Linked DNA regions of Mus musculus: region 1 is reported to be linked to region 2. The links are microRNA targets in miRTarBase. Many come from high-throughput screens and were not tested one by one. Region 2 holds a microRNA gene; the other region holds the end of a gene's coding sequence.

Evidence for each region. The annotated mature microRNA mmu-miR-339-5p reads UCCCUGUCCUCCAGGAGCUCACG and lies in region 2 at 4,556-4,578, opposite strand. An mRNA with a match to its seed (bases 2 to 7 or 8) in the 3' UTR can be bound and repressed. Matches are read on the target gene's strand: a 7mer-m8 pairs with bases 2 to 8, a 7mer-A1 pairs with bases 2 to 7 and ends in A, and an 8mer does both.
Region 1: the mRNA of Mfsd11 is a reported target of mmu-miR-339-5p. Seed matches in the 3' UTR shown: 7mer-m8 at 4,587-4,593.

What each region holds. Positions count from the first base shown.
Region 1 is chr11:116,872,727-116,879,846 of GRCm38, reverse strand. It overlaps Mfsd11 (major facilitator superfamily domain containing 11), which reads right to left. Exons shown (of 13, transcript NM_178620.4): 12 at 6,468-6,603; 13 at 4,187-6,066. The coding sequence ends at 5,902. Among named protein-coding and RNA genes, the nearest start is that of Mfsd11, 22 kb to the right of the region's middle.
Region 2 is chr5:139,365,153-139,372,272 of GRCm38, forward strand. Mir339 (microRNA 339) reads right to left here and starts at 4,593; the gene lies at 4,498-4,593. The region is part of intron 2 of 3110082I17Rik (RIKEN cDNA 3110082I17 gene); the gene reads right to left.

The DNA.
Region 1 (7,120 bases), not on the chromosome of region 2:
AGCCTGGTCTACAAAGTGAGTTCCAGGACAGCCAGGGCTACACAGAGAAACCCTGTCTGGAAAAACCAAAAAAACCCAAATAATAATAATTTATTTTATGTACGTGGATACACTGTTGCTGTCTTCAGACACAGACACCAGAAGAGGGCATCAGATCCCATTACAGATGGTTGTGAGCCACCATGTGGTTGCTGGGATTTAAACTCAGGACCTCTGGAAGAGCAGTCAGTGCTCTTAACCTTTGAGTTATCCTGACAGTCCCAAAACACTATTTCTTCCTTCCTTTCTTTCTTCCTTCCTTCCTTCCTTCCTTTCTTTCTTTCTTTCTTTCTTTCTTTCTTTCTTTCTTTCTTTCTTTCTTTCTTTCTTTCTTTCTTTCTTTCTTTGTATGGAACAAAGTTTATTTGGGGACATGGGAAGGGGAGTTGAGAAGGGAGTAGAGGCAGAGAAAGAGAGGGGACAGAGCACAGAGAGAGAGGGAGGGGGTGGGGAAGAGGCGGGACAGGAACATGTGGAGAGGGGGGGAGGAGGAAGAGGAGAGAGGAAGAAAAGGGTCCGAGAGGAAAAAAGAGTCAGAGTCAGAGAGCCAAAACACTATTTCTAAGAGAGATGTTTCAATATTTCTTGTTTTATTTTGTTTTGGAGACAGGTCTCTCTGTGTAGCCCTGGCTATTCTGGAACTCACTCTGTAGACCAGGCTGGCCTTAAACCCAGGTATCTTCCTACCTCTGCCTCCTGAGCGCTGGGATTAAAGGGGATATCCATCATTAAAGGCTGAGGCCTTTTTAAAATACACCAGTGGACACATGAGGTGTGTGGGTTAATGCAAATCCAAGAAATCTCCCTTCCAGGCTTCAGGAGCTATTAAGCTCTGGTTAGTACAGGTTTCCGTACATACCACAGGATTTACTTGATGGTCACGGTCACAACAACATTGACTGACATCCAGAGGAGGGTAAAAAAAAAAAAAAAAAAGGTTGTTAAGAGGGCTAAAGGTGGCTCAAGATAATTAGGCTCTGTACCTGCAACATTCCAACTCCACACGATGACAAAGATTCTCATTGGTTGATCAGTCATGTTCAATGCCAGCCCCAGCAGCTGAGAGCAGCTCCCGGTGCCTGGTCTGGGAGCGCCAACAATAAGTTTATGTGAAACACACACCTGCCTTCCTTCTGGGAATCTGGCAGGTGGCCAGGAGGCAGGCCAAGGCTGTGTGTGTCATCAGAAGCCAGTGAACCCCTGCCATAGAAGGTCTGGCCCGGTGTCCATTCCTTGCAGGCGCGCAATGAAGGTAGCCGTGGAAGTGTGACCCCCGTGTGGCCCTGAAGTGGAGACCCAAATAGATGGACCCACTCATAGCACCTCTAGACTCTGGGTCCTGGTCCCTGCAATGGACATGGATACTTGACACTGGAATATTAGCCTTAGCCGTGAGCATGACCACATGCATTCACAGAGTCACATACATCTTCCCATCAGATGTCCCTTGTCAGGAATGGTCCTTGGGTCTCCTGGGACACAAGCTACTATAGAGTGCTATCCTTGGTCCCAGCAGCTGTGATACCCAAAAGCTGGGTTTATTGAATGTTGACACTCTCACATAGGAGAGGGTGAGAAGGGTGGCTGGACCCTGGCTTGCTCCCTGTTCCTTCTAGACAGCTACACGCACCTCCTCTCTGATCGCACGGGGTCTCACGGATTTGGGAGCAGCTTCAGTGTATGCATGGAAGGGTTACCGAAGGGGGCTCCATCTGTCACAAGGGGAGACGTTTGGGTGGAGCAGTTCCCTTTGAGCTGGCCCTCACCCCTGCTCTGTAACTAAATCCGGTAGGTTCTCTGGCTTTCCAAACCAGGTTTCTTTAACCTAGTCTGCTGTGGTGCCCTATGTGGAATGAGGAGGCACGCAGAGGTCAGAGGGCAACTTTCAGGAGTCAGTTCTCTCCCTCCACCATGTGACTTCCAGGGACTAAACTCAGGTCATCAAGCTTGGTAGCCAGTGCCTTTACATGCCTGAGTCCTGTTGCCAGCCTCCTGTGTTTCTAACACACACACACACACACACACACACACACACACACACACACACACACACTTTTTATGAGTATGGTCCTATATGTATGTCTATGCACCATGTGCATGCCTGGTGCCTTTCCAGGCCAGAAGAGGGTGTCAGATCCCCTGGATTTGGGTTATAGATGATTGTAAGATGCCAAGCGAGTGCTAGAAATGGAATCTGGGTCTTCTGGAAGAATAGTCAATGCTCTTAACTGCCAAGCCATTTCTCTAGCTCCACCACCACCACCACCACCACCATCACCATCATCATCATCATCATCATCATCACCTCCACCACCATCACCACCCCACCACCCGCCTCTCTCTCTCTCTCTCTCTCTCTCACACACACACACACACACACATACACACACACACACACACACACACACACACACACATTATATAATCTCAGCAGGCCTGAATCAATCCTTTTGTCTCAGCTAAAGAACTAAGGGCAACAACAGGGTCAACCAGCTGCTGGGGTTATCTCAGCTTCAAGAAAGCCAGCCAGACCTCAGCCTGGCATGGCGGTGCAAGCCTGTAATCCAGCATTTTGGAAACAGAAGCAGGTGGACCAGGGTTCAAGGTCAAATTCAACTACATAACAAATCTGAAGCTAGTTTTGCCTACCTGAAACCCTGCCTTACAAAACAAACCTTACAACCAGGGAGGACGCCATCGTTCCACACAGGGGACTTCTATAAGGACTGCGGCTGACAGCAGGGCTTTGCGGATTCCTACCCTACCATCAAATACTCAAAAATGCCAGGCATGGTGGTGCGTGTCTGTAATCCCAGCATTCAGAAGGTGGACAGGAGGAGGAGGAATGTGAGGTCAGTCTATGCTACATAGTGAGATGGAGGAGAGCCTAGGCTATACAATAGCCTATCTCAAGAACTGAAGCACGGAGCTAGAGAGAAGGCTCATGGGTTAAGGGTGTGCACTGCTCTTCCAGATGTGAGTGTGGTCAGTTCTTAGCACCCACACTGGGTGGCTCACAGCCACTCTAGCTCCAGGGGATCCCATGCCTCTGCCTTCTGACACTGACACAAGCATACACACCTAATCAATAATAAGAATAAATCTCACCTGCCCCCCACCCCCAAATCATCCAACCAACTACACAATTTCTAGATTCATGGCATGTTTCAGAGTCACAGGTCTGGGTGTGATGGCTATGCCTTTAATTCCAGCACTCAAGAGGGAAGGCAGATCTCTGTGAGTTCAAGACCAGTTTGGTTTAGGCTACTCTGAAGGGGAGTGGGGAGGTTGTAAAGGGGAGGGGAAAGGAGAGAGAGAGAGAGAGAGAGAGAGAGAGAGAGAGAGAGAGAGAGAAACACAAACCCAAACAAACTCCAAAAAACCAACAACCCCAAAGTGATGGAAAACAAGATATGTTTCTCTGAGCTGGACTCACTGTACTGTGGACAGATAAATGTCACGTTTAAAGGGAAGGCTCTGTTCTATGGAATATCCAGCAGGTCCAGACATAGGAAGGTTGTTAGTGCCTGCCACATCTGAGACGGGCTGAGGGCTGAGACAATGCAAGACAGTTCTGCAGTCCTGGGGCTGCAGAGCGGGCTGAGGATTGAGAGCACTTGGGGTTTGTCCTGGCTTGAATGAGAAAGGTCCCCACTGGCTCACACAGCTGAATGCTCCTCCCCCTCCCCCAGTTGGAGGAACTGTTTGGGAAGGATTGGGAGAAGTGTCACTGGAAGTGGGCTGGAGGGGTGGCTCCATGATTAAGAGCAGCAGCTGCTCTCCCAGAGGTTCTGAGTTCAATTTCTAGCATCCACACAGAGGCTCACAACCATCTGTAATGGCAGACCCATGGGAAGTTCTCTTCTGGTGTACATATATGCACACATATATCTATATACATAAGTTACATAAAGACAATTCTCTAAAGCAGAAAGCCATTCCCAGTTAGTTCTCTGCTACCTGCTTGTGGATAAAATGTGAGCTCTTGGCTACTGCTCTAGCCCCAGGCCTGTCCCGCTGTCATGCTTGCCACAATGATGGTCACAGACTTACCCTCTGGAACTTTTAAGTGCCAATAAACCCTTAAGCAAGTTCCCTTGGCTGGGCATTGGTAGTGCACACCTTTTTTTTTTTTTGACTGTGTATCTTTTTTTTTTTTTTTTTTTTTTTTTAAAGATTTATTTATTGATTATATGTAAGTACACTGTAGCTGTCTTCAGACACTCTAGAAGAGGGAGTCAGATCTTGTTGGGGATGGTTGTGAGCCACCATGTGGTTGCTGGGATTTGAACTCTGGACCTTCGGAAGAGCAGTCGGGTGCTCTTACCCACTGAGCCATCTCGCCAGCCCTTGACTGTGTATCTTAATGTAATTTTTCCAAGCAGGCACCAGACTTTTAATACAGAAGAAAAACAAGAAAGCTAGGCGAATACATCCGTCAAGGTACATCGACACAAAACAAAGAAATAGTGGACACTTTAATCCCAGCACTCAACCAGATTCTCCAGCCTCGTGAGTTCAAGGACAGCCAGTGCTACACAGAGAAACCCTGTCTCGAAACAAGTTGCCTTGGTATCTCTTCACAAGAGGAAAGTAACTAAGACACCAGAGAACGCACCCCATATCAGTGGTCTTTAACTGCCTGTAAATGCAGTTCGCAGGGATCCAATCTCCATCTGACTTCTCTGAGTTCTGTAGGCAGAATGTATATACAGACAAGCCACAGGCAAACACATACACTAATAAATAAAATAAAAAAGAATTTAAAAATAAAATATTGTCATTAGATATGGTGGCAGTTATACAACCTTATGCACACACACCACACATACACACTAAGTTGGTGAATTTTAGCCAGAGGTTGTTTGTGGCTTGGAAGAGCACAAGTTGGAGGCCAAGCTGCAGTACATACATGTTAGACCTGATCTAGATGCTTAATTAATTTAATATCTCAATCGTAAGAGTGTCAGTCCTTGTGGGAGACAGTCTGCAGTGCTTACGCACTTTCCCACAGAGGATGGCCGGAGTTTTCTTTATTGTAACGGTCAGGACAACCACAGCATGAGTCCTCCCCCTCCCAGTAAATACTCTTTCCTTCTCTAAATATGCTTTTATTAGTTGACAAATGACACAGTCTTTACCTCATTACACATAACCAGCCCCTTGCTGGGAGTGACAAGGTAAGACTTGTTCAACAAAGCATTTTAGGAGAAGTTGAAGTCTCAGCGGTGTGTGGTAGCATATTCTCACCACCCAGGCATTCTGGAGACAAAGGCAGGAGCATTGCCTGGTATACAAAGTCCAGGCCAGCCAAGGCTGCATATCAAGACCCTAACTCTTAGGATTGGAGCGTTTTAAATCCAGTGTTGGGCAATAACCCCAACACTGGAGGCAGGGGAGGGCTGCAAGTCCAAGACCAGCCTGGGCTACGCAGTGAGATCCTGTCTCAAAACAACGTGTCTCAGCATCCTTGCTGTGTTTCAGAAAGTCATTCCCAGACCCACACATGGAGTGGCATCTGCTTCCTATTTCGAAAGAGTGAGGCATACTCCACAGCCAGCAAGGATCTCGTGACACATGGCGAGCCAGGCTGGATCGTTCCTCGAGAATGAGGATGGAGGAGCCCTGATTGTGAGGAACTGAGGGAGGGGGTGGACGAACATCTCAGAACAGCTGTAACGGATAGAGCGGGATTCCCTTCCTCCGCTAGCGTGTGCCGCTAGGATATGTAAACTTTACTACCAACCCCGCCCGATTTCACAGTCTCCGTTCTCGCTTTAGCGATTATGAGACTGACAGGCCGTCGGATTTAACCAGCTGCCATGTGACCAGCTGTGTTTCTTGGAGACACTTGTTTTCTCATCAAATGCTTCGGTAGTCCGAGCCTCGGGCCACGATGGCAGCAGCGTCCCACTCCACAGCGAAGAAAGAAATGGTTCCAAAAAACCCAAATATCACCATGACCAGGAGCTGCCAGTGGAGGAGGAGGTAGTTGCTGTAGAAAAAGGCCACGGCTGCGCAGATTGACTAGAAGAAACAAGATAAATCACCAAGTGGATGCTGGGGCCTCAGATGCTCCACAGTCAGCCCAAAGGACATCTGCAACTGGCAGTGCCCGTGAAGACAGACTTCACTGGTCCCCAGCTCACAAATGCACCCCAACTTGCCTGACAGCAATAATCCAGTAAGCTGTGGCACTATAATAGTACAATAAAGTGATGAGAAGTCTGAGACTCTCTGGAGAGATGGGGCTGGTACCTAAGGAAGTATTCACTCAAGTGCAGAGACCAGAATTAAAGCCTCTCACCTAAGCAAGCCCACTGTGCCTGGTTCTCCTCACCCCCCTTTACAGGACACCCAGCATTCATTTAAACCCCCAGTGACCGAGGACAACGGGAAGGAAACCGACTGCAGCACAACCCAGTTACCTGAACAAACTTAAAGACCGCGAAGGCCGGCGCGCTGTCTTCCGAGTAGAGAAAACCCAGAATGCTAAGCAGCTGGGTGTTGAAGCAGCTGTCTCCCAGACCCAGCAGAAAACTGCAGAGAATGGCAACTTCTTTGCTGAAGGAAAACAAAAAAGCAAAAAACACATAAGACTGGGAAGATGGCTCAGTGGTCAGACAGAAGCATGCGCTGATTCTGGGAAGGACCTGAGTTTGGTTCCCAGAACCCATGACTCCAGCATCAGAGGACCCAATGCTCTTCTTTGAACTCCACAGGCACCACCTGAACTCAAATATGCCCCCCCCCACATATATGAGTAATTTAAATAAAAATAGCTGGGGGTGGTGGGTACATGCTTTTAATCCCAGCATTCCAAAGGTAGAACCAGATGGACCTCTGTCAGCTCAAGGCCATCCTGGTCTTAGGGAGTTCTAGGACGGCCAGGACTCTGTAGAAAGACCGGTCTCAATGCATACATGCATACATACATACATACATACACCGGTCTCATACATACATACACACATACATACATACATGCATACATACATACATACATACACCAGTCTCAATGCATACATACATGCATACATACATACATACACCAATCTTAATGCATACATACATACATATA
Region 2 (7,120 bases):
GCCCAGGGATAGAAGGGGAGTCTGGTTGCCCTGGCTACCAGCTCCGACTAGCTCTGGCCAAGTCCCAGAGGCTGTGTGGCTGAGTGTTTGTATAAACTGCAGCAATGGGAAAAAAAAGCAGACAGCCACCCTACACCACCCCACCCCCACCCCCGGGGCTGGCAGGCCTGCCTCTGACCCCACAACCACATGGGGTGGGGATGCACAGAGCCACCAGGGCCAAGGTCCATCAAAGGAGAAGACAGGCAGTGGAGTAGTGAGATGATGATCTGGGGAGGGGGGTATTAGCCTCCCACTGTCTATAAGACATGACCTCAGCAACCCCAGGCCAGGATCCTGGTCTTAGGGTCTAAAGATGCTGTCTGCAGACACCTGCTGAGAGGCCTATCACACACACTACAAGCTCTGAGGACTGGCTGAAGTCTCCGGGGGCTCTGCAGCCTGTGTGTCCTCCAGGAAGGAGAGCCATGGTTCCTGGATCGAGTTGGTACAAGAGAGACAAGGTGCCACCAAGATCATAATCGTGGAATTCAGTCTCTGTTGAGGCTAGCACAGATACTGCAGGAACCCAACTCTGGGGGGGGGGGGGAGGGAGAGAAGGAGGGAGGGAGGGAGGGAGGGGGGAGAGGGAGGGGGAGGGGGAGGGGGAGGGAAAAAGGGAGGGAGAAAGGGAGGGAGGGGGAGGGAGGGAGAGGGGGGGAGGGAGGGGGAGAGGGAGAGAGAGAGAGAGGGAGGCAGGCTGACTGAGTGCATGAGGCCCTGGTCAGGTCAGTATGCAATCCCAGGTGCTGGGATCTCTCACATGGGGAACTGAGTCCCTGCCCCTGCCCCTGCTGGGAATGAGCCACATGGCAGACTCTGTTATGCAACTTCCCCCATCTTCAGAAACTACAAGAATAGATCCCCACTTCTGCTAAATGGGCTCTGACTTCTCTCTTCAGAGACCCCACCATGCTGTCTCTGGCACTGGGTTTGAACTCTTGGAGGATCCACCAAGCCTTTGCCTGCTTGCTCATGTCAGCAACTCTTTTAATCCAGCAGCGGTTCTCAACCTGTGGGTCACAAACCCCCAACCAATGGGACCGCCCCGCCACCCCCCGCCCGCTAGTCACATTACAGTTCTTGATAGTAGCAAAACTACAGTGAGGAAGTATTAATCAAATTAATTTTCTGGAGGTGGGGTCACCACAACATGTATCAAAGCACTGCAGCATCAGGAAGGCAGGCTGAAAACCACTGCTCTACAGTGACCGATCACAGTGTTCCCCCGAAATGCCTCCCGCCCCAAAACCTAACACTGCCTTTCCACTGGATCTCTGAGGGGGATCATGCTGGCCCTTGTGGAGACTGTAGAGGGAGGTCTCTATCTGTAGCCACTGAAGAAACCACATCCCAGTGCCATCACTCTGTCGTTTGGGATTTGACAGAGAGAGAAAGGACACATCAAAGTTAGGCAATGGGAGCTGGGGCTGGGGCTCAGTTGGTACAGTGTTTGCCTAGCATGCAGACACTGGCTTCTAGCCCCAGCATTGCATAACCCAGGCAACGTGGAACACTTGCCCATCCTAGTACCGCGTATTGGCGGTGGGATTCCAAACACACACCGCCACAGTCAGCTTTCAGGGGGCTCTCATGGGATCTGACCCCGGTCCTCCTGCTTGTCGGGCAAGCGCTGGACTGACAGCCGTCTCTCCACCTCCTGTTTCTTTTTTGTCGTTGTTGTTGTTACTTTTTAAAATATTTACTTATGTGCATAGATGTTCTGCCCACATATATGTACACGCATGTGTGTGCCTGGTACCCTCTGATGTCAGAAGTGGGTGTCAGGTCCCCTGAAACTGGAGTTATTGGAGAACGGGATGGTTTGGTCACATGGGTACTGGTGTTGAGACTGGATCCTCTGGAAGAGGGACAAGTGCTCTAAACTGAGACCCCCATCTTTCCAGCCCCCTGGTTTTCAAAGAGGAACTTGGTACGTGGCCCAGGCTGGCACTTCTCCTGTCTCTGTAGCCTCTGGAGTCCCGGGATTAGAGCTGCCCTCTTTTCCAGCTCTTTTTTAAAAGAGAGGTAGGGTGTGGCACACACATGCTGGGTGGAGATGGCTCGGTGGGTTAGAGCACTTGTTGCTCTTACAGAGGACCTGGGTTTGGTTCTCAGCACCCACATGGTAGCTCTCAATCATTTGTAATTGTAGCTCCAGAGGGCCCAAAGTCCTCTTCTGAACTCTGGGTACATATGTAATGCTCATTCAGGCATGCATATAAAACATGCACACTGGCCTGAGCGAATGCTGCACCCACGGAGGGTCCTTGTATGGATGGTGGGCTCAGCTCTTTGCTGTCCCTACCAAAGCCAAGGAAGGCTGACACTTTGGGGCCAGTGCAGCATCAGCAGTCTCCCAAATGGCACACCCTGAGGGTTCCTCCACCCACATCTCCATCACCACTCATGGTTTGCACTGATCCAGGGCTGGCGGAGCAGGCAGCCTCTGTCCCATGCTAACAGGCAAGGCTTGCTGGGTGACTCTGGAGATTGAGAAGAAAACTGGACCATCTCCCAACAGCCTTGGTAGCTAAATTCAAGACTGCCTGGTGTCCATGACAGGGCACAGCCTGTGTGTGTGTGTGTGTGTGTAGGTTAGCTGGTAAGCTGACCTGGAATTATAAAGCCCAGGCTAGCTAGCGTCCCCTTAGGGGCAATCTTGCCTCAGGCTCCCTGAGTTCTGGATGTTGAGAAGAGTCCTGGCCAGGCATTCTGAGCCACACTGGTAAGGGGAGTCTGGCCTGCTTGTGCCTGTTGCTGGTGAGGAGGCTTAACTCTACCATCTGTAAGCAGGGGCATCCTGGTGAGTGGGTGTTTTCTGCCAGCTCAAAGACTCCAGGCGGCACTTTCTCCCTTGCCCTCACCAGGCTGTGTGTAAACCCAGGACCAACCTTGAACCAGGGCAACTGCGTGGGCCTGCTTCTCTTGTTTGTTCCCCAGGTTTAATCAGGAAGCCCTGGTTGAACCTTACTGTTTTTGAAGCCTCAGGCGCTGAGGAGGCACACAAAGGTGGGTGCTGCAGCAAACCGCAGCTTCAAGCACCCCACCACTGCCCCTCCCTTGGGTCCCATGGGGGTAAAAGAGGCCTTCTGTGTAGGAGGAAGGGCAAGGGCCCACTGTCCTTCCCCAATGAAGTTCACAGGGCAGAGAGATGTTCTCCTTCTCCACACAGCTAGAAGGAGCTGCTGGCCCTGGCCAGGGCATCACCTGTGCTGGGGCAGTATGACTGGGGATATTCTCTTAATAGGGATTTGTGCTGTCCTGGGGAGGCAGTCAATGCCCAGCGTTTTTGAGCATCCACTGGGCTCAAAAACATCTTGTTCAAACGTTCTTGGAATTGTGGAGGAGGTTGGTGAATATGTCCTGAGGATTGAAAGTCCAAGGCTAGCTTGAGCTTAGCAAGTCTGTCTCAAACATAAACAAAAACCCCTCAAAGGTTAGTTGTAGACCTTGGCAGTAGAGGCCCTGGTAGCCAGTGCCAGACACACAGCTCTGTAGGACCTTCTTTCTTGGAATGACTGAGTCAGGTGTAAGGATGAACACAGGTGAGGGTAGAAGGACCCTCTGTTGTCCCCACCCCATCATGTGACCAGAGCAGCTGTACTGGGGGCGCAGCTGAGTGGCAGGGAATCCAGTCATTTGACCCGCTTCACACAGGACAGAGTCCCAAGGGCACAGCAGATGGTCGATGGAGCCCAGCACCTGGCCTGTCTATCACATACCCAGGTGGTGCCTCCAAGGCTGGGGCATGGTCTCTGGTCCCTACCACCCCTATACCTGTTCCCCAGACATTGGGAATGGCCTACAAGTGACAGCGATGTTTGTGGGGGGAGACCACGAAGCCTGCTGAGGCTGACGAGCTGGGTGCCAAGGCCAGTGGACTCTGTTCTCATTCCCCAGCCCAGAATCAGCCCTCCTCCATTCAGTTGGAGCCAGCCCGAGTCCAGGGTCCCACAGAGGTGTTCGACCTTGAGAGCCCATTCCGGTTCACAGACCTCAGCAGACTGCTGCCCGGCTATGCACTCACTCGGTAGCAAGATTTCCAGAAGACAAAGCAAAAGCACAACAACATAATGAAGAGAGGGGAGAGAGTTTGTTTTAAAGGAAGCTTTTTATTTGGAGGTAATTACTGAAACACAGTGGATGTAGAAGTGACCCAGGGACACCAACTGCCAGGACATAGGTCACACGCAGTAGAATCAACTGGTGCTACAGAGGACACACACAGAGGGAGAGACCTGGAAGGCTCCCTCCTGGCTCCTCTCCCCTCCCCCTCAGTGTCTGCGTAGGTTAAGATGATTAGGACCCCAGAGGGGTCAGTGCCTTGCGTCACCGCACAGAGAAACCAGAGTCCCCTCCATCCACGGAACAACCTGCAGATCTGCACAATCGAGTTCAAGAAGGTACAGCATGAACAGCCAGCGACTGAGCACCCTGGTCTGCAGGCAAGGGTCTGTGGACAGTGCAGGGGTGGACACCGGCTCTGTCGCCGAGGCGCTCACAGGCAGGCATACGTGAGCTCCTGGAGGACAGGGATAGTGGCCACCCCGTCCAGCTCTGCACAGCTGTGCTCTCACCACCTTGGTGCCAAGGCAAGGGTCACACCCACCTAGGGATCCCCTTCTAGATATGACTTTTCAAATGCACAAAATGTCACTTAAGCCCCATGCTTGAAAAAGACAAAGATGACAGATGCGGCACCCTGCCTCCTCAGTGACCTGAATGGCGGAAGTGAGCAGCAGATCTGATGTATCCCTGAGAAACAGGAGACTGGGCCATCACCAGCTGCCACAGGACACACGAATCCCCAGAGGTGATGTTGTCACCGCCACCAAGCCCAGGCTCTGTCCAGGCCACAGGTCCTTCTGCAGTCACGGCAGAAACACCCTGTGTCACTTACTTGGGGGTTAAACACAGGCTAAAGCCTAAGTCTTGACCTCAGGCTGCCCAGAGAATTAACTTTCTCACAGACTCCAGCACAGACCACAAGGCCTCTAGGCTGTGAGTCCCCGACTATACATCGGTTTTCTTGGCTCTCTGGCCTCAGCTCACCTGACTCAGGCTGACTGGCCCCACCAACAAGGTTATGAAGGTCCCATGGGTTTTCTAGGTCTAACCTCTCCCACTGCTATCTCACATGTCCCCAGTTCCAACACAGGAGCAGACAGACCCCAGGAGCTTGAACAGGGTGCAGATTTCCTTGACTAGGCTGAGGGGCTGGCTCCAGAAGATAAAACTTCCGTCCCTTTGCCTGCAGATCACAGGAACTGGTCCCAGCAGCTCTGGCACAAGTTTAAGTGGGAAGCCCAACTCGGCCATCAGTGAAGCTCCTGGTCCAAGAGCAAGGACAGAGTCAGCCCCTGCCACCTGAATCACGGGCGTGAGGGCGACACACACAACAAGCTCCCACCTAGGTCTACTCAGAAATGGCAGAAAGCAGCCAACAGGCAGGGAAGAGGGCCCTGCAGCGGGGGAGATGGGGAGGTCTCTAATCAGACCCCTGCAGTAGGAGACCCTGAAGTGAAGGAGAGGGAGGGGCTTGCATCTATAACTGAGCATTCCCAGGCCAGGAAAAGCCTGCTGACACAAGAACCTGTGTACTGTGCAGAGCCTGCGCTGCGTCCCTGAGCCGAGCGAGACTCAGTCTCATTTCAGCTGCAGTCTGCCTCCTTCGCCCTAGCTGGAGGCCTTCTTTCTAGCCAGGGCCAGGTACCCACATCCCCTTCTCTAGAGCTTCCCGGCATGCCCACCACCCAGGGATGCTTGTTCTAGCCTGGTTTCCACGTGCCCCACTCCCAATTCTATTTGAGTGTGCCGGTAATCAAAATGCTTTTGATTTTGGCTTCCTCTGGTAGAGCAGCTGTGTTCACACATCCCAAACTGCCTAGTGGACCCCCAAGTGACATTAAGGTCATGGAAGCTTTCTTGCTGTGGCCAAGGAAAGGCCATTTCTCCTGCTACAACGGGCCCAGCAACCACCCTGCAAGCAAGGTCAGATGTCTCTGCTCACCTGGGTAAGTGACTCCCTAGCAATCCAAAACTCCCCACCCCCCTTTTTTTAAAACAGCAGAAATGTGAAGACAGCTCTGAGCCAACGAGGGCAGAGATGACCAGAACAAACACTGGGGCACAAACAACACTCGCAGGATCCTCTATAGTTCCTACTTTTTGTGCTGATCTTGCTATTATAATGCAGAGCGGATTTCTAAAGCTTGAAAAGCCCACTAAGCAAAGTGTGGGAGTCATCCAAGGTGCGGGTGCAAGCAGCTACAACTGGGCAGAAAATGGGGTCTCCCAGGGAAAAAAAAAAAACCAAACAAACAATTATGTACTGTCAAAGACTATCAGCCACCAGGCTTCCACATTAGCTGAGCAGCCTGCGATCCTATTTCTCCTGCGAGTGTCAGCCTGTGAGCACAGCCTGCCAAGTTCTCACCTCCAGACCCTAACTATACCACCTTCCCCACAGACTTTAAGGAGTTCCTGCAGGAAGGCTGACCTGGGAGCAATTGAGAAGGCCTGCAACAAAGTCTGCCTCTTGGGAGGTGGAAAAAAACAAAACAAAACACAAAAACCCAGGCTAGTGGAGCAGGCAAGAATGAAATCAACATTACACAGGGACTTCATTAAGTGCCATAAAGTTTGTTGTTATGCCCCTCCCACTGTTCACAAGCAGTTTTTTGGGTCAGGGCTCTGCACACACCGCGGACACCCAGGAGGGTCCTCCTGGGTGTCCATGTTAACCTGGCAAGTTAACCTGGCATGTTAACCTGGCAAGCGGTCTCAAAGCCTAAGACTCAAAGTCTAATAAGACTATGAGCGGGGCCCAGGCTATGGGCTCAGGGGTGGGAAGGCAGGCAGCGGTGCGAAGGGACACCTGGACGACCTCGCGTGGCTACAGAGCGAGGCCACCACCGATGCCTCGGGGTCACCTGGCGCCGCCCGCGCCTGGCCACGCACTGACCTCGCTCGTAGGCAGCGGGGAGTTGTTGGCGCGAACTGCCGAGACCCAGGACGCTTCACAGCAGCGAGTCGGGACTGGGGCGGAACCAGATCTAGCCGGCTGGACAGTGACGCA